Arabidopsis thaliana: one gene and its partners. The protein of the gene in region 2 interacts with the protein of the main gene of each other region in a pairwise test. Each region holds a gene or a part of one and is shown on either strand. Other genes may lie near its edges.

Evidence for each region. Proteins that work in one complex are often made in the same cells at the same time.
Region 1: the proteins of ATL15 (region 2) and NOF1 interact in a protein complementation assay, tested with the Arabidopsis thaliana proteins (one large-scale study listed by BioGRID).
Region 3: the proteins of ATL15 (region 2) and MLO3 interact in a protein complementation assay, tested with the Arabidopsis thaliana proteins (one large-scale study listed by BioGRID).

The regions. Positions count from the first base shown.
Region 1 is NC_003070.9:6,082,375-6,090,382, reverse strand, and holds NOF1 (U3 small nucleolar RNA-associated protein), read left to right. Parts: upstream 1-2,001; 5' UTR 2,002-2,225; coding exon 2,226-2,346; intron 2,347-2,452; coding exon 2,453-2,582; intron 2,583-2,840; coding exon 2,841-2,965; intron 2,966-3,129; coding exon 3,130-3,289; intron 3,290-3,389; coding exon 3,390-3,534; intron 3,535-3,631; coding exon 3,632-3,755; intron 3,756-3,861; coding exon 3,862-3,962; intron 3,963-4,063; coding exon 4,064-4,195; intron 4,196-4,297; coding exon 4,298-4,378; intron 4,379-4,584; coding exon 4,585-4,781; intron 4,782-4,883; coding exon 4,884-4,956; intron 4,957-5,043; coding exon 5,044-5,103; intron 5,104-5,306; coding exon 5,307-5,345; intron 5,346-5,427; coding exon 5,428-5,516; intron 5,517-5,613; coding exon 5,614-5,678; intron 5,679-5,809; coding exon 5,810-5,856; intron 5,857-6,062; coding exon 6,063-6,122; intron 6,123-6,189; coding exon 6,190-6,261; intron 6,262-6,443; coding exon 6,444-6,473; intron 6,474-6,638; and 11 more. Other genes in the region: PRA1.F1 (prenylated RAB acceptor 1.F1), read right to left, coding at 253-795. UniProt on the Arabidopsis thaliana protein: DEAD-box RNA helicase-like protein required for pre-18S rRNA processing, specifically at sites A0, A1, and A2. Involved in the control of rRNA expression. Required for embryo development and female gametogenesis.
Region 2 is NC_003070.9:7,947,507-7,951,445, reverse strand, and holds ATL15 (RING/U-box superfamily protein), read right to left. Parts: upstream 1,971-3,939; 5' UTR 1,866-1,970; coding exon 720-1,865; 3' UTR 546-719; downstream 1-545. Other genes in the region: AT1G22510 (E3 ubiquitin-protein ligase RNF170-like protein (DUF 1232)), read left to right, coding at 1-33, 178-229, 331-443. UniProt on the Arabidopsis thaliana protein: E3 ubiquitin-protein ligase able to catalyze polyubiquitination with ubiquitin-conjugating enzyme E2 UBC8, UBC10, UBC11, UBC28 and UBC29 in vitro.
Region 3 is NC_003074.8:16,615,712-16,621,877, forward strand, and holds MLO3 (Seven transmembrane MLO family protein), read left to right. Parts: upstream 1-1,686; 5' UTR 1,687-1,874; coding exon 1,875-2,024; intron 2,025-2,370; coding exon 2,371-2,428; intron 2,429-2,602; coding exon 2,603-2,805; intron 2,806-3,431; coding exon 3,432-3,548; intron 3,549-3,679; coding exon 3,680-3,740; intron 3,741-3,833; coding exon 3,834-3,922; intron 3,923-4,025; coding exon 4,026-4,100; intron 4,101-4,186; coding exon 4,187-4,275; intron 4,276-4,351; coding exon 4,352-4,401; intron 4,402-4,504; coding exon 4,505-4,545; exon of another isoform or gene 4,546-4,626; coding exon 4,627-4,800; exon of another isoform or gene 4,801-4,826; intron 4,827-4,874; coding exon 4,875-4,910; intron 4,911-5,021; coding exon 5,022-5,089; intron 5,090-5,198; coding exon 5,199-5,259; intron 5,260-5,386; coding exon 5,387-5,641; 3' UTR 5,642-5,659; downstream 5,660-6,166. Other genes in the region: IVD (isovaleryl-CoA-dehydrogenase), read right to left, coding at 5,948-6,094.

The sequences.
Region 1 (8,008 bases), 1.9 Mb from region 2:
AGTGGGACGTAAATTCGGTAACTTGTTAATCACGTTTTAGTGGCTAAATTTTAAATGCTTCTTCCCATGTGTTTCCATGTTATATATCTTTAGTCACTATAAAATGGTGAAACACAAACAAAACGTGAAAACGCTAGTAAACAATCATGGTTATGAATATTTAGTTACCGTAACATTGAAAATCAAATCTAAACGCAAAATAAACAATCGTAGCCATAATTTGAAATAGTCTAACAGTTGATATTAAACTTTTTACGGATTTAAAAGACTGGTTTCTTCGTCGGTTTGGAAAAGATCTTCAGTTTTCCTAACAGCTGCATGAGACAACACAGCCAAGGCACCTGCCACGATGGCCACCGCGATATTGAGCTTCGCATCAGTTAAAAAAAGGATGGAAAGAGTGATAACAGACATGATTATAAGTACGATACGGTGGTCAATCTCGCGGTCAAAAACAGTGAGCGGTTCATCACGGAGGAAGTAGAGGAAGAGCCATGCACCGAGTAGGGCGAGTAGAACTAAGAGGGAGAAGGGATTCCAAATCAGGCTGAGAAATACGGAGAAGAGGACGACAATGGTGTAATTGGTCTGGAAATAGACCGTGTTGGCTCTGATTCTAGTGATCACGGTGGCTAGTTTGCGGGGGAAGTTGAAGGAACCGAGGTCTAGCATTTGCTTCCAAGGGCGGCGCGTGGCGAGGCCGGATCTTTTGTGTTGGTTGATGCCACGGGTGATGTACTCCAGCTTGGGGGCTAAGTCGTTAGACGACTTCTGATTGGTGCCATATGTTGTCATATTGTTTTTCTCCTTCGTGATATGGGAGAGAGATTAATTATTTTTGCTATAAGTGTGATGTGTTTGTGGTATGTGAAGAGAAAAGCATTACATGACTGAGAGGTTTTATAGAGTTTTGTATTTGCTATAACAAAAAAAAAAATTTGAACATCTTGTATAGTATATAAAAATGTGAAATATGGGATAACATTGAAAATACCTAAAATTACGGGACACACTTTTGAATCCAATTGTTCAGAATCAGAACACATCCACATGAGTCATGAGTCATGACTGACTTTAATTTAGATTTCATTTCCAAACTAATGTTTCACTTCTTCGCACTCGTTTTTTAATTTTCAAACTGATTGTGTTATTCACGTCGCACATGTTATTGCCATTTTTGTTTATCATTTGTAAAATGTATTGGATTGGCTTGCTAATCGATATTGATGTTCTTATCTATAAGATAAAACGTGAGGGAATTAACAGAGTCATAAAAACGACGTGAGAAAAAACCACAATATACAGTATATAAGAATAAGTGTGTCTAGAGTTACAAAACGACGAGGTGAAAGGGGCCAACGGGAGGAAGAACAGGCCACGTTGGCGTTGTCTAAATTTAAAACTGAAAAGAGGTGACACCAATGAGAAGGTGCCAGATGGGAACTGTAATAAGAAGAGAACGAGGAGAAAACTGCAAAACTCATGAAAGGCCAGACCAGAAAGAGATGAGACTTGCCTGCCCAAGTTATTTTTTCTTGCAATTATTGAAAAAATGAACATGGCTCTCCTTTAAGCCCACCACTCCAACTTGGAAACCTTGAATTCTGAATCTTTTTATTATTAACCAATAAATAATACATATATGAGTCATATATGTACTAAAAATGATAAATCTCATTCAGTGTATGATACATACAAATCTTTGTAGAAAGGTATAGGCTCTTGATAAGTAATTGTATGGATTATGATGTTTGGTTTCAGATGTGAGTGTATGAAAACTGGCCGTAAGGTCAGGAGATTTATCATATTTAGTTCAATTATTTTACATGTAGTCATTCTACATTAGCACCTGCGTATCGCTCTTGAATTTTACCATTTTAGTACTCTTGTATAGCGTAAGCTAAGTTTTGGGTAGAGATGACAAAAAAATAATAGGAAACCAGAAAAGGAAAGCGTTAAATATATTGGGCCTATTGCAAGGCCCATTCAATAACTAATAAACCGACGTGTACTAGTAACATCGTATCATCATCTTCTCCGTTATGACTTTGGGTTTTAATCTGCTCGGCCGCCGCTTTATTTTTCAGACCAAACCTACGAACTTCGTTTTGAGGCAGTTTTTTCTGACAGCTAAAATCTAAACTCCGTTGTCAACGCCGTCAAGCAAGCGACAAGGCTCAACATCTCCTATAATCTCTTTCTCTGCACCAGTTAACTTCCCTAAGATGGCTCCAAACGCTACTGGAGTCTTGAAGAGGCACAGGTCCCATGAGAAATTCGATAAGAAACGAGATACGAAGAAGCACAAACATGTTGAAAAGACGATTGTTTCCAATCCTTCAACAGGTTTGTTAGCTCTTCTTTGTTAATTGTGCAAGAGATTACAGATTGTGTGTCCAACAAATTAAGTGGTGCTCAATATTAAACTCTTTTTGTGTTATTTTATCGTTAGATTCACCTGAAGAATCCTCTATAGAGGCTGAATCGGAAGCAATGGTTTACAGAGAACCGACACAGTACCAAAATTTGCTGGTGTCTCTTGGTTCATCTAACAAGGTTGTTGCTGATATGAACAAAAGAAGGTATCTTTACAATGTCGTTTGTTTTAACAAGTTCAAGTCTTCAGTTTTTGGTTTATTTGGAAGTCTTTGACTCTTTGTATGACTCGGAATTATGTCAATCATTTAGATTCGATATACTTGTTCCGATGTGGAACTAACTACTATGTCCTTTAAATCTTCAAATTTTATTCTTTTAAGATTGTGTTGATTATATGTAACAAGTTTCTTGGCATATATTGGTTGTGAGGGAGGTAGTGAATCTTCAAATCTTTTTTACAGGCAGAGAGAGGAAGAAGGTAAAAGTGACACAGAAGAAGATGAGGACGATGAAGATGAGGATGAGGAGGAAAACAGTGGGTCTGACGATTTAAGCTCTACTGATGGGGAGGATGATAAGAGTCAAGGTTAGTTTTTCCTTATCTAGTTTTGCAAGTTATTACTAGTTTCTATTGTGCTTAGACTTAGCATACTCCTGTAAACTTCATTATTGGCTCTTAAGTATTCTTGCAATAGTTGCATCGTTGTTCAGCCTTTTGATTTCACCTATGCTTCTGTTTGTATATTTAAGGGGATGATCAGGAAACTCTCGGAGGTCTTACGGACGACACGCAGGAAGACAATGATAATCAGAGTGAGGAAGAAGATCCTGACGACTATGAAACGGATGAGGAGGTGCATGAGTTGAGTACCAATGGCCAATCCTTTGTAGATGCTTCTTCATCTATTAGGTAAATTTGATTCAGATGGTGGTGTCTGCAAACATTTATTTACAGTTTGATGTGCTCGTTTATCCAATACAACTCTTTTATTCACACATTTATTGTTCAGTGCATTTAGTGAGCACCTTAGCCACAAATTATCCAGTGAAGAAGTGGAAACTTTACCAAAAGGCAAGTGGAAGTTTAAATGGGAATCACCTGCCTTTGACATGCCAAATTGCAAATGGAAAGGAACGAGTGAAAATTTTCTTGATGTATGTGTTCTGTAACCTTTCCTCAGAAAATATGGTCGCGAAGTCTGCCTCCAAACCTAGTAGTTTACCAGTAGCACCATTTGTTTATATTTTGCAGGGTATTCAGAGTGATGCACCTTACGGCCTCAAGCCGAAGTTATATAATCACTGGCTGCAATTGTACAAAAAATGTGGAGGCAAAGATTTGGACTCATCTAAGAGGAGAAAATTCTTCTCTATTTGTACGTATTAGATTCCGGGATTTTCCTATCTCTGGATTCTTTCTACTTTATATCATTCATGTTTCTTTCATGGCTCTGTGTTGATCATTGTATTTTGATACTGCAGGCAACAGCTATCTGGATATATTGCATTCTAACAAGAAACCCTTTTACCATTGTGGCTCTGACGAAGACTCAAGTGCCATGGATGCGTACCTTATGCATTCTGTGTGTACACACTTGTATTCCTTTTTCTAAGACAATTTATGAGTTTTTCATTAGACTCCGCATATCTTCAGGATTTATTGAAGTCCGTTTGTCTTATGCAGTTGAATCACATCTTTAAAACTAGAGATCTAGTGAAGAAGAATGAAAGTAAAATCGCCAAGCATCGAGAGACCTCCGAAGAAGAAATTCTTTCTGATGATGGATTTCTGGACCAAGGATTTACTCGTCCAAAGGTGACCCCTTCTGCTTTTCTTCTGCAAATATTTTATGTGTTTAAATATGTTGTTGCTCGCATTTGAGTTTGACAGTCGGTCTTACGTGTATTGTAATTCCAGGTCCTGATTCTATTACCATTGAGGAGCATTGCCTTTCGCGTTGTTAAGAGGCTCATACAACTAACTCCGGAATCTCAAAGGGTATATAAATTTATGAAATTCGTTCATCAATTTTTCAATTGGAAAATGCTTTGTGACTGTGTTGCCTCTACTCTACATCTCGTGGATGAGAAAATTCTCTAGTTTGATTGTTAGTGATGTTGAAAGAATTTTCTGCATTGATATTGTCTATGTTGCTAATGCCTTGAGTTGCCTATGCCATCTTCAATATCCTTCATTGGTTTCAGGTTAATGTAGAACACCTTGACCGGTTTAATGATGAGTTTGGATGTGAAGAGGATACTGATGACTGTGATGGTGAAAAGACTACATCGAAAAATGGAAACTCAATCAAACAAAAGTCTTCAAAACCTTCTGACTGGCAAGCCCTTTTTGGTGCGAATAACAACGATGATGAGTTTATGTTAGGCATTAAACATACAAGGTATATATAAGCCTACATACTCTTTAGATTTGAAGTGCATGCTTTCGGTTGGTATCTAATTTGGTCGTTGTGCTGAGACTTGAATCCTCTTGTCAATTTCAGGAAGAGTATTAGGCTATATGGTGATTTTTATTCCTCAGACATTATAGTTGCTTCCCCTCTCAAGTTACATATGGTAGGCAGCCTTGTCTATCCTTTCATAAGATGATTTAGTTATGCAAATCTTCTTGATTTGATCTCTAATCAACTTCGCTCTTGTTAGGCCATTGGTGCAGCAGAAGAAAACAAGGAACGGGATGTTGATTATCTTTCTTCCATAGAGGTACTTCTTTTATCATTGCTTGCAGAAGATATATTTAATAGATAGCTGATGGTTGATGCCAATAATGTTCAGTTACTTTAGTCTATTATTGCTTTATCTCTTAAACCTGGTTTATTACTGCATGTATTTTCAAATATTTGAGGTTGTATTCTGCATCTTCTTATTTTAGTTACTAATATTGTTTTTCATGTACATGTGGATAGGTTTTGGTTATCGATCATGCAGACATAATATCTATGCAGGTAGGTTGTGGGATGAGCTTATAGAATTTTCAAAGATAGATTTATGACTCCATTTCTTATATGTTCTATTATAATGTTTCAGAATTGGTCGTTCCTTGCTACAGTCGTTGACTACTTAAATAGATTGCCAACAAAACAACATGGAACCAATGTCATGCGAATTCGGCCGTTGTACGTAGTTCTGACTTTTAAGTTCTTTTCTCTAATATGTTTATCTGTCCAACAGCCCATCTATGCCAGAATTTCTAAGAAAAGTTCTTATGTTTAGGTATCTGGATGGACATGCAAGGTTTTATCGCCAGTCAATAATTCTAAGTTCTTATTTAACTCCGGGTATTGATCTGTCCATTTGTTATCACCTATGGTTTAATTCCTTTTGATCTTCGTTTTTCCTATATTTCCATAATCCTTATTTATGGTGGAGTTTCCAAACTTGTACTAACCCAGATAATATTTCGTTTCAGAGATGAATTCTCTATTCGGTCGCCACTGCTTGAACTATAAGGGAAAGGTGAGCATTCATAATGCAGCACATTATCCATTTATAGTAAATGGATTTCGGGCGTCTTTTTTGTTACTAGTGTATTGAGGGGATTATATGATTGATCTATTATGCGTGTTCCCCATACCAAGATTGTAAATTTAAAGTTAACTTGTCTTTCATATCTAGTTTGATGTTAAATTTGTACCGTAACACTTTTGGTTGAATCTATGCAGATGAAGATGGCGTGTGAATACAAGGGTGTTCTTGAGAAAGTGTTGCTCCCTGTCCGTCAGGTATGAAAGCTTATCTTTTTTACACAAGAAAAGTTTTAGACATCTTATCTCTCTGTCTGTGTTGCAGATTTATGAAAGATTTGATGCAGCCTCCATAACCCAAGTGGACGATGCACGTCTTGAATATTTTACCAAAAAGGTCATTTTTTTTTTTTTTTTGATGCTATGGTTTTGCAGTAATTAGATTTTCATGAATAAATTGCATTGTTGCATATCTTTGTTCGTATACCATTGAAAGTAGGGTCATAAGTCATTGCACATATTACACTTTTTAGGTGCTAAATAAAATAGTTACTGATTCCGTTCTTCTTTTCATTACAGATTTTCCCAAAGATTAAAGATTCTGTTCAGGTACTCCCATCATTCGAAGTCATTCAAAGTCTAAACTGTTTTGTTGACCATACTTCTAAGTTGCCATAACATACTGGACAATAACAAAGTTGGGCAGAACAAAGACCTTATTGTTATCACGTAAATTTGGGAGCTTGATTGTTCGTATTCCAATCATGCTTGTAGGGAGGAGTAATGATCTTTATCCATTCTTACTTCGAGTTCGTCAGGCTTAGAAACTTTTTGAATACGCAGAATACCTCTTTCTGTCTTCTTGGAGAGTAAGATCATTTTCTTCCTGTTTTGAAGTTGCTGCTTCTCTGTGTTATCTGGATTTCCTTTACCGGATATAGTTAATTGACTTCTGTTTTTCAGTTATGCAAAAAATGCAGATATATCCCGAGCAAGAGAACAGTTTTTTGTAGGGAGCCGAAAGATCATGCTTTACACTGAGAGAGCATACTTTTATAAGAGATACAAGGTTTTTTCTTCTTCTTAAATTCATCTTTGATCTTTTAGTAGGTTCTGTACTGTTCTGACCAATTTGGCTGATGTATGATGATGTTGCTTTCTCGGTTTCAGATCCGTGGTATAAAGAACTTAATCTTATATTCTCTTCCGGAGCGGAAGGAGTTTTACCCTGAGGTAAGTGCATCTTTAATCGAGAATTAAATACGACCCAACCCTAATCAGGAGAACGACAGTCGAGTCTCATCGTTCGATCTTTAACTGCAGATAATGAACATGCTTGAAGAAGGATCACATGACATGATGTCCACTGCACTTTTTTCTCGTTTTGATATGCTCCAGGTACTACTTACACATCTCTCGTTTTCAGTCTCCTGATGGTTCCTCATATATAGACAATTAGATTAGTTTAAAACTTAGCTCACTCGAACCAGGTACAAAGAGTAATGATAAATATATAAGTTGTAATGGCAAGTTTAGTAATGTGGACCAATGTGATGTTTTTTGCAGCTGGAAAGGATCGTTGGCTCTACTTCCGCAAAGAGAATGATCACTTCTGAGAAGAACATGTTTGCTTTCTGTTAAGAAACAAAATAGTCGATATCTATTTGTTTGGTGATCTTGATCGCCCAGTTTTGATTATGCTATTTTCTTTGTTCAGACTAACCGGTTCAATTCAAATTAAAATGAAACTCAAATTTAGAGAACAAATTAATTTAGTTTCATTTTCTTGAGTGCGAATATAACGTTTAGTTGTCATTTGCATTTTATAAGTATCAACTTCAGGATCCAAAACCAAATGTCAAACTTGAGAAGAAATTCAATTAAACTTCAGACGTCGACATCAAAAGGATGGATATGATCAATGGTCTAGCAGCAGATGACAAAATTTTCAATAATCTATCTTTCTCCTTCAAGGATTTGAAGAATGGCCTATCGGTTAATTTACTGAAAACCCGATTTGAAAATAAAAACCGAAAATGTCAGTTCGGTTTTCTCTCAAAGCGGTGTCGTAGTCTGTTGGCCTTTACACGAATTTTTTCATTTAGAGGATGATCTTGAAGTGGGTTGTGGACAAAGTTTCATCG
Region 2 (3,939 bases):
CCACTCGTCATCAGAGCTCGTGTTTATATTGCGGTTAGTTTAACACATTCATTACTTCTGGACCCTTATTAAGTAAATCTTCTGTGATTAAATGTTCACAACTTTGAGCACTTGATCACATCTGAACTAAAGAATGCTCTGACTAACACAAAATTCACTGCTTTTTATTTGATGCAGTTGATACTCAGTGCGATTTACATAATCAGCCCAATAGATATCATTCCGGAAGGTAATCCTCATTTCATCTCTTCAGTATATTCATACAATACACACACTCTTCTCTTCTATCAACATATTACTGACCAATACTTTGTATCGATTTCTTGTCAGGAGTCTTGGGGGTTATCGGTTTACTAGATGATCTTCTCATAGCCCTGATTTGTTTCCTCCATGTCGCTGCTCTCTACCGATCCGTTCTCTATTCCCGTCATGGTGGTTCGTGAACCTCTTTGAAGTTTTCACATCATTAATCATCACAGTTGAAGTACCATGGTTTACTTGTTTGACCCTATCTTTTTGACTGTTAGACTTAGGAAACTTGATTTGGATGATAAAACGAAATGGTCCTTTCCTTTATTACTATTTCAGTAACAGATGCATTATATTGGTGAAGGAATTGAATTTCTCATATAACATAAAGAAACTAGAAGAAAGAAAATACATATACAGATTTTCTTTATTTCAGAATATTCTTAATAACCCCAATAGTAGTAATTCGCCTAGACAGGGCTCGCATCGCCGGATTGAAGGTACGAACGCTCACCGGCATTTTTCTTCCCAGTAAATAACCGATCAAACGGTGACCTTATTGCTAGAAGCAAACCTTTAGGTGCACCAGCACGATCCTGATAATTACCACTAGCGTTGATAATCTCATCCGGAGACTGTATCGACCGGGTATGGTATGGAGGAGTTATAGAAAATGGTCTCCGGTCCAACCGACCGTCTTGATCAAACCGTTCAAAGTAGAAATAGTTCTTTTCAGTCCCTAGGCTTCCGGTTCTGAACCCTCTAACCGAGCTCCTTTCTTGAGGTAAGGCCAGTTGGCCTTTTGACCCTTGCTTTCCCAGGCTGGAGTTCACAAGCTGGTCATGTATCTCTTGTGGTAACCTCAGCGTATACCGGTCGAGATTCTCCTCCGGTTGGCCCGGTGAACTAGCCGGGCTGTACAATTCAGCTAGTTTCCAACCTGTAGACATGGATTTACGTGGCATGCTTTGGTTACCCGTCCAAGCCACTGAGTCAATCAACCGCTCGTCAGGTGAAGTTAAAACCCTTTTCCGGTTATCATCAATCGGCGTTCTGAGAGAGTTCTGACCGGTTTCTCTAGCTAAACCGGGTATCTCCGAAGAAACAGACTCACCCGGTACAGGAACGAGATTGGCTCGGCAAAGAGGACATGTGGTCTGAGAACGGAGCCAGGCATCAATGCAACCAGGATGAAACACGTGACAACACTGAGGAATCAAACGCAGCGTTTCGTCGTCCTCGAACTCGTTGAGACAAACGGGACACTCCAAAGCTTCTTTACCGATCCTCAACGTCTTCACTGTAGAGTAAGGAAACGTTGGAAACGTTTCTATAACAGACGCGTCTAGCCCAGGCTCCGTCGTTTGCCTCACGTTAAGCCAGTTTCCTGGACCACCACCGCTGTCCATCCCCAGAGCGTGCTGGAGACACCTCCTCATGTAGACGGAGATACATCCAAGTGCGAAGAAAACACTAACGAGTACGATCATGATTATAGCCGTGGTTGGACTGAACGATGTTCTTCCTTCATCATCAAACTCGCTGCTAGCGACAACGACCTCTAACAGTAGTAGCAAGAAAGAAGAGTAGAAGCTTACTCGTGACATGACCACCATCGATGGTTGCAAATGGTTTGACGATTTGATGGTGGAAGTAAGTACTTGGGCTTCCCGGTTTCATGAGGACCAAGGCTTTTACCGGTGAAGGAGCTTTATAAAATAAACAAAAGCCTCGTCGTTTATTTCTTTTTGTCTTGTTTTTTTTTGGCTTCGCGAAAGAAACCAAAAAAAGTGATGGTAAGATCATAGGAGATGATATTATAAGAACGTGTGATACATTAATTTAGGGGACGGTTTGCTTTGCTTAATGCCTACAAAGATGGTTGACTTTTCAGATCGTACAAAAGGCACTACTATTGATAAATTATATTATATCAACCAAGCAAATCTCTTATGAAGAGATATATATAATCCAAAAGTGAATTGTTGCGAATTGTGATGGTAAAATTTATGTTTTATAAACGAAACAAATTAGTCGGATAAATCATCATGTTTAGGAAGTGGTTTATGATCATTTATGTCATGCTAATTTGATATCCCAAGTTTGATTAAGTCCTTTAACAAAAAAAAAAAAGTTTGATCGAGTCTACGAGTTAGATCATTGAGGTTTTATATATATGGACATTTCTGTATTAAAATTTAAGATTTGTAGAACCGAAGCTCCACATATCTTTCGTAAAAATGACTAAAATCAATACGAGATCAAACTTATCTCTAATGAGTCAACTTTAACAAGACCTTGATGTGGTATTACCATTGTAGGTCAACGCAATTATACAATGATATTGTCGTAAATGTGATTAATAATTTAAGCAGTTGGTGATGTATACTTGCATCATGGTGATACCATGTTGTGATCACGTCGCTCTCCAACTAACTAGTTATTGATTAATATCTTTTATGGAATCAGTCTATATAATCATTCATATATCTGATCTCTTTGTTATGGATAATTAGTGGAGATTTGTATATCTTAATATGCGATGACTTAACCGACGGCCCGATATAATTAGATATATGGTCTTAGATAATGTGAGGTGATTTAACTTTCCCTTTCATTAGGACGATTTTCAACTCGAGAAATAAGACCTAAAGAGAAAATCAAATTAAGTGCTTATAAACAAAAACGACCTTTTTTTTTTATTCGGGCTATTTTTTTTGGCATTTCGGAGATATTTCAACTCATGAAAACTGGAGAAAAAAATCAATATGCAGTAGAAAAAAGTAAATTGTAAAAATCAATCGCCAACGCCCCCTTAAAAAAACTTTGTTTGGTATGCGATGAAAATCAAACAATCCCATATGTTACAGAAAAGTTGAACAAACGTGTTTTTTTTGTTGCCGTAAATTCATTTTGGAATCTCGATTTTATTCAAACAGAATTAAAAACGAAACCAAAATAGTAATAAGAAAGCATTTAATATACATACTTGTTTGTTTGTCAACATGTAATTTAATATACATTTTATAGTCGCACACCCCTATTTGTCTATGGATCGACAATTAAATGCCTTAACAATTTGCGAAAAAGACATATTATTAATCCATATTGATAATGATATATAAGTCTCAATCTTATCATCTTAAAACGTATTTTGTGGTGAAGGCTTTCGAGTTTCGAGTATGGTGTGACAATGTTTTTTTGGCTGTGTATAATTATTTATAATAGGTTTTTAACAAGTTTTTATTATATGATTTTTTTTCAAAATGAGGTTGTATGATTGTCAGACTAAAACGAGGTTATATGATTCTAACGAAAATACATATTATATTGTGGAACGCTAAAATAAATAAAAACATAATAAATTGTGGAACCACAAAATACTTCTAGAATCAAGTTTTGCTTTTTTCGGATATCAAATAGAATAAAAAAAGATTATACTTTTGACAAAAAACAGAAAAAGAGATTATACAAAATGGAATATTTTATGATGGTTTTTGGAAGTTTGAACTAAATTGAAGTATATCTCATGGAGTTTGTTTGTATGCAATTAGAAATATTTGTGGATTATATTCTCGTTTTTTGTCAGCATATATTAATTTTGATACTTAGCCATTACGAAAATTCCTATTTTCAAGAGTTACAGTGTTCGTGTACAATTTTTGATATGTCATCTTATGGCAGCACGCT
Region 3 (6,166 bases), on a different chromosome or scaffold from region 2:
CCATCCAACATTTTTTTTTATAAGTAAATCTGTTACAATTAGGGTCCAAATTTTTATTAAAAAATAAAATATAGGAAATGATGACCAATTCTTTTTTTTAGCACATGATTTTTAATTATTTTGAGCCAGCCCTAAGTAAAAAACGTATAGGCTTTTGTCGACGATTATGTTATAAACTTATAACTAGATAAGAACTCGCATCTAGTGTGGGATGAAACGATTAAAATAAATTATTTGATAAAATTATTGATATTTAATATTTGTCTGTATATAATAAAACATGTAATTAATGTTTTTATTTTATTTTAATTTATGTTTGTTTTGTGTAAAAATACGTTTCACCCGTGATTGTTAAAGCTCTAATTCTTGAGTGGGTCGGAACTTGGTTTAATTTGCAACATAATACAAACATCGATATATCAGATCTTTTTTAGTTTGTGTTATAGTGTGCTCAGTGGGGCGGCTGTTGTACGGATAGATTTGAAAGGATTCTTTGTTATGATTCCAACGTTTTTGCAATCACTAGAGAAAACCAATGAGATTGTAAAAGAAAAACGGAAACAAAACAAAACAAAAGAGAAGAAAGCTAGAGAACAAAAAAATGATATTCACTAGACATGGTTTCGACGAAGAAACTGGAAACCAGCCATCAAACAAATACAACAAAGATGATCTGAGCTTAGTCGAGAAAAAAGGATCCTGAATTGCTCGGATGATAAAATCAGACGTGGTTGGGATTTCTCTCTAAAATGTTCTCATCATTTAATTTGGCCATTTGGATATGATTTAAATCCTAATTTCTAGCTTTAGTTTCTTGTTTTTTTTTTTAAATTAATCAAGCACAATAAAAACCTTAGACTTAGAACCCTCCATTTTTTTTCCAACAATTTTGAAAACTATATAAGTTCATTATTTTTATCTCTATATATATATATAAGCTTAAGAAAATGTACGTATAATTATGTTTGTTCAAATGTTCATCCAGAATATTTTACGATGTCATATTGGTTTTGTTTTGTTATCATGTTGTGAAGTAAGTAATCATTTTTTTTATTGTCATTTCCGTTCTTGTATTAAAAATTATATATTGATGTGGTTGTTAAACCGAAAAAGAAGGTGAATTTGGTAGATCGCAATATTTATTGATGAAATTAAGAAAATATCAATAATATGATTTGGGTTCATTACATAGTTTTTTTTTTTACATGTGTAACCCCTTCTCACGGCCACGGTGAAATTTTCATAATATACACAAAAAGGGCAACAAATAAGAAATTTTCATTACATAGTATATTCCTTAATTTTGTTTTTATTCTCATTTAGTTTTTACTAGAAACATTAAAATGAACTTATATTTGTAACGTGCTATTTTGTTTTCTGAACTATCAAATGAACGTCTAACAAAATCAAACTCAAAAACTTATAATTTATAACTCTAATTTCCATTTAATAAATAATATACCCACTAAATTAAAAGTTAAAAGTTAACTAGTAAAATCGACTATAATTGCAGAAAATTAGAAACTGTTTTATCCTTTCTTTACATTGTCGGTTTTCACCGTCCAATACTCCAATCCATTTTTAGTTTACTAACTAAAATTTTTTTATTTTAATTTACTTATCAAGTTTACCCAAGAATAATATTAAGTCTTACCAAGTCAAGACAGGGCAGTACGTATGAAGTGGGACTTGGGATTTAATGTCACATTTAAAGCTTAAACGTCAGTGTTTACTAGAAACTTTGACAAGTTCTTGATTGCAACACAACAATGATTGCGACAATATTAATAGATATATAGTTATATTTTCCACCACATATCTAATTCTTCATCTTCTCAACTAAACAAATCAGTCACCGGGAAAAATATAAAGAGATGACGGATAAAGAAGAAAGCAACCACTCCTCGGAGGTTGGCGCCGTCCGATCCCTCCAAGAAACTCCCACTTGGGCTCTGGCCACCGTTTGTTTCTTCTTCATCGCTGTTTCCATTTGCCTCGAGCGTCTCATCAATCTTCTATCCACTGTAAGTACAAATATGTATATTATAGGATCATATATACTTTCTTCTATACACTGTTTAAATTTTGACTAATCTCTTTAAGTTTTTTTTATAAATTTTTTGTTCTTGGAAAAGTAGAGTTTGGTTTACACTTGCAAGAATTTAAATTGGATATATTTATATTTTATTAAATTAGATATATAGGTGAAGTAGTAAATATGTATGTTAATAAAAATGTATTTTAATATTTTAACCATTTTCGAAAAATATCAGCTAGATAACATGAGTTGAAATTTCAACAAAAAATAAAAAGCGAGTCGAAAGTTCAAGACAAAACTGTATTATATATATATTGTCTCTTTTCTTGCAGAGACTTAAGAAAAATAGAAAAACGTCGCTACTTGAAGCTGTAGAGAAGCTCAAATCAGGTAAAAAACTGTCCCATTCGTAGAAAAGTTCATTGGTCATCAATCTTTGTTTAATTTAAAAAGCTCAAACATCTTATAGTAAAAAAAAATCCTAAATTTTTGGATATGAAAATCAATTGAAATATCTCTTCCAATTTTATTAATCTCTGAATTTTTAATGTTCTGTAAGGGCAGTTCTAATGGTGCTAGGATTCATGTCACTAATGCTAAATGTAACTGAAGGAGAAGTTTCGAAGATATGCATTCCTATAAAGTATGCCAATCGAATGTTGCCATGCCGTAAAACCATAAAATCACATAATGATGTTAGTGAAGATGATGATGATGATGATGGTGATAATCATGACAACAGCTTCTTTCATCAATGCTCTTCCAAGGTTCTTTTTGACCCTTTGATCTTTAATTAAAATCATTTTACAGTTTTATTTTCATTTATCTTTAAATCCAAGGTGGACATATATATAATGTATAAAAGTAGTATACAAAGGTTTTAACTTAGAAAAACAAAAGTTTTGATGACCAGTGAAACTGTAGATAGAAATTATGCAGCAATTTTGTTTTCTTAATCAATCACACAATTTAGTTTTTGATTTATGAATTTTCGTTAAATGATTTTCCAGTTTTCATAACCTTTTATTGCTTACTATTCTACAATATGATTATTTAAATAAGAGATTTAATCATATACATTTTTATATGCTTAACTTATGAAACTTCTGAATCCAAAAGTTTTAAGATATCTTCTTGAAATCCAAGATGGAGGGAGAGAGGACCGCAAAATCCAAAAATGTCAACTAGTTTACTTTGACGTTGACTTGGAGTCTTGGACATTGTCGTTAGCTAGAGTCCACTAATCAAGAAAATTACGTCCAAATAAAAAAGAAAACAAAAAAAAAATTGTTGAGTTATGAACAAAATATCAAGAGTATGACTTTTTCTTTGCTTACTAAAGTAAATTTTATTTCGAAGTAACTAATCCGATTTAATAAAATAAAATTTGCAGGGTAAGACTTCACTAATATCAGAAGAAGGGTTGACTCAGTTGAGTTACTTCTTCTTTGTGTTGGCATGCATGCATATTCTCTGCAATCTTGCTATTCTTCTCCTTGGAATGGCCAAGGTACTACATATATACACTATGCAATCAAATATTATAACATTACAATTGTTTAATAAAGACTTCAATAATTTGTGACATGGTTTTTTACTATTGTTTACATACAAAGTTTTTTGTGTACGTAATACATATAGATGAGAAAATGGAATTCGTGGGAGAAAGAGACCCAAACAGTGGAGTATCTAGCAGCAAACGGTAAGATTTTTGTATTTTTCTACTACGAAATTACATGCAATGTCAATTATTTCTTAGTCGATAAGTTAATTAATATTTTATGAAAATTTAAAGATCCGAATAGGTTTAGAATAACAAGAGATACAACATTTGCTCGACGACACCTGAGTTCATGGACTGAAACATCATTTCAACTTTGGATTGTAAGTTCGTACCTATTATTAATCTTTAATTAATTTGTTAATTAACATTTATCTCAAATATATAGGTTTAACTATATTAATAATTAAGTTTTTTTCTTCTTAGAAATGTTTCTTCAGGCAATTTTACAACTCAGTGGCGAAAGTAGATTACCTCACACTTCGGCATGGGTTCATCTTTGTTAGTACCTCATTTTTTGTCAATGAATAATTATTTAAAAATAAATAAATTTTAAATTTAATGTGTTATTTTGATTATTGATGCAGGCTCATGTATCGTCAAATAATGCTTTCAACTTCCAAAACTATATACAGAGATCTTTACATGAAGATTTTAAAACTGTGGTTGGTATAAGGTAGTCATATTTGTGTATTTTACATGAATCTTAAGTAACAAAGTTAAATCAAATAAACTTTTTAATTTTGTTACAGTCCTTTAATGTGGCTAACTGTGGTCATCTTTATGCTCCTCGACGTTTCTGGTAACTTAATTTATATATTTGTTAGCTTAAATAGTTAAATTAAAATAATTATTAGTGATTACTCGTTTTTATCTTATCTTCTTCTTTTTTTCTTAATCATCAGGTTGGAGAGTATATTTTTATATGTCATTTGTGCCACTCATTGTAAGAGCTAATTTAATCTAGTTAAGACTAATTAACTATATGTGTAACTCAAATTATTGACGAACTAATATTGTTACGTAGATAGTTTTAGTGATCGGGACGAAACTAGAGATGATAGTAGCGAAAATGGCGGTCACAATTAAGGAGAATAACAGTGTAATTAGAGGAACCCCTCTCGTTGAGTCAAACGACACGCATTTCTGGTTTTCCAATCCTCGTTTTCTCTTAAGCATTCTACACTACACGCTGTTTCTGGTAATCTTTTATAAACTACATGTCGTTTTTCCTAATGCTTCATCATAATGCCAACATTAATTTTTCTAATACAGAACACCTTCGAGATGGCATTTATTGTGTGGATCACTGTAAGTTCTAATTTCTTATAGGGATTTTAATATTTGGATTTATAAGAAAGGGAAAAATAATATAGGAAATTGTTATATGTGATGTATCTATAATTTTAATTATGAAATTAGTGGCAATTTGGGATTAACTCTTGCTACCATGATAACCAAGGGATCATAATCACACGACTTGTATTAGCGTAAGCACTACAATTTATTTATTTTATCCCACAAATTATTTACATTTTCGAAATTATATTTTTGTATTAAAAATCATATCGTTAATATTAAGGATATTATGATTTATAGGGTGACAGTCCAGTTCTTGAGCAGCTACATTACATTGCCTCTTTATGCCATTGTAACTCAGGTAATTTAGTCCAATATATATAACACCATTTTTAAATTAAATCGTTTTGCATTAGTATATAAATTATTACTGTTAGTGTAACCTAGTGATCTGAATTTGATTTGGATGCATATATATATGTGTTTAGATGGGGTCAAGCTACAAGAGAGCAATCTTAGAAGAACAACTAGCAAATGTGTTAAGGCACTGGCAAGGGATGGTTAGAGACAAGAAAAAGACTATCCAAACGCCAGACACCGACAACAACAGTAACAATAACAATGGTGATATTGATTCTGGAGAAAGTCCGGTTCAGACAGAAGTTGCTTCTGAGTTTAGATTTTCGGGTAGACAATCGCCGATTTTACAAGAGATACAGATACAAGAGAAAACTGAAAGGTGATCAGATTGATGGAAAATGAGAAAGAGATTGTTGGTATTATTGTTAAGAACTTTTTAGAGTTGCCTTTACTAATTATTGACGAATCAAATGACAAAATAGTAAGTTTAACCAGAAGTGTCAGTGTTAGATTGGCATGCTGGTATCGTGATAACATGTCACACATAATGTGACTAATAATTGATATGGTTTCTAGAGGATTGCTTGAAGCTATTTTTCTTATTGTGAGGTTATTAAGGACACTGTGAATTATATATACGTGTACAGAATGAAAATGTCGCATTGGCAATGCAGAAAACAGACTTATCTCTATTCTTCTTTGAAAAGCTCGCGACCGATGACAATCCTTCTGATCTCGCTTGTCCCTGCACCGATTTCATATAGCTTTGCATCTCTTAGAAGGCGTCCTGTTGCATATTCGTTTATGTATCCATTTCCGCCTAAACATTGTATCGCCTGCAACATCAAACCAAATCTTTTAGTCTTAAAGGAAAGGTAACTAGGTGATCAATATGTGTAGTTATGATC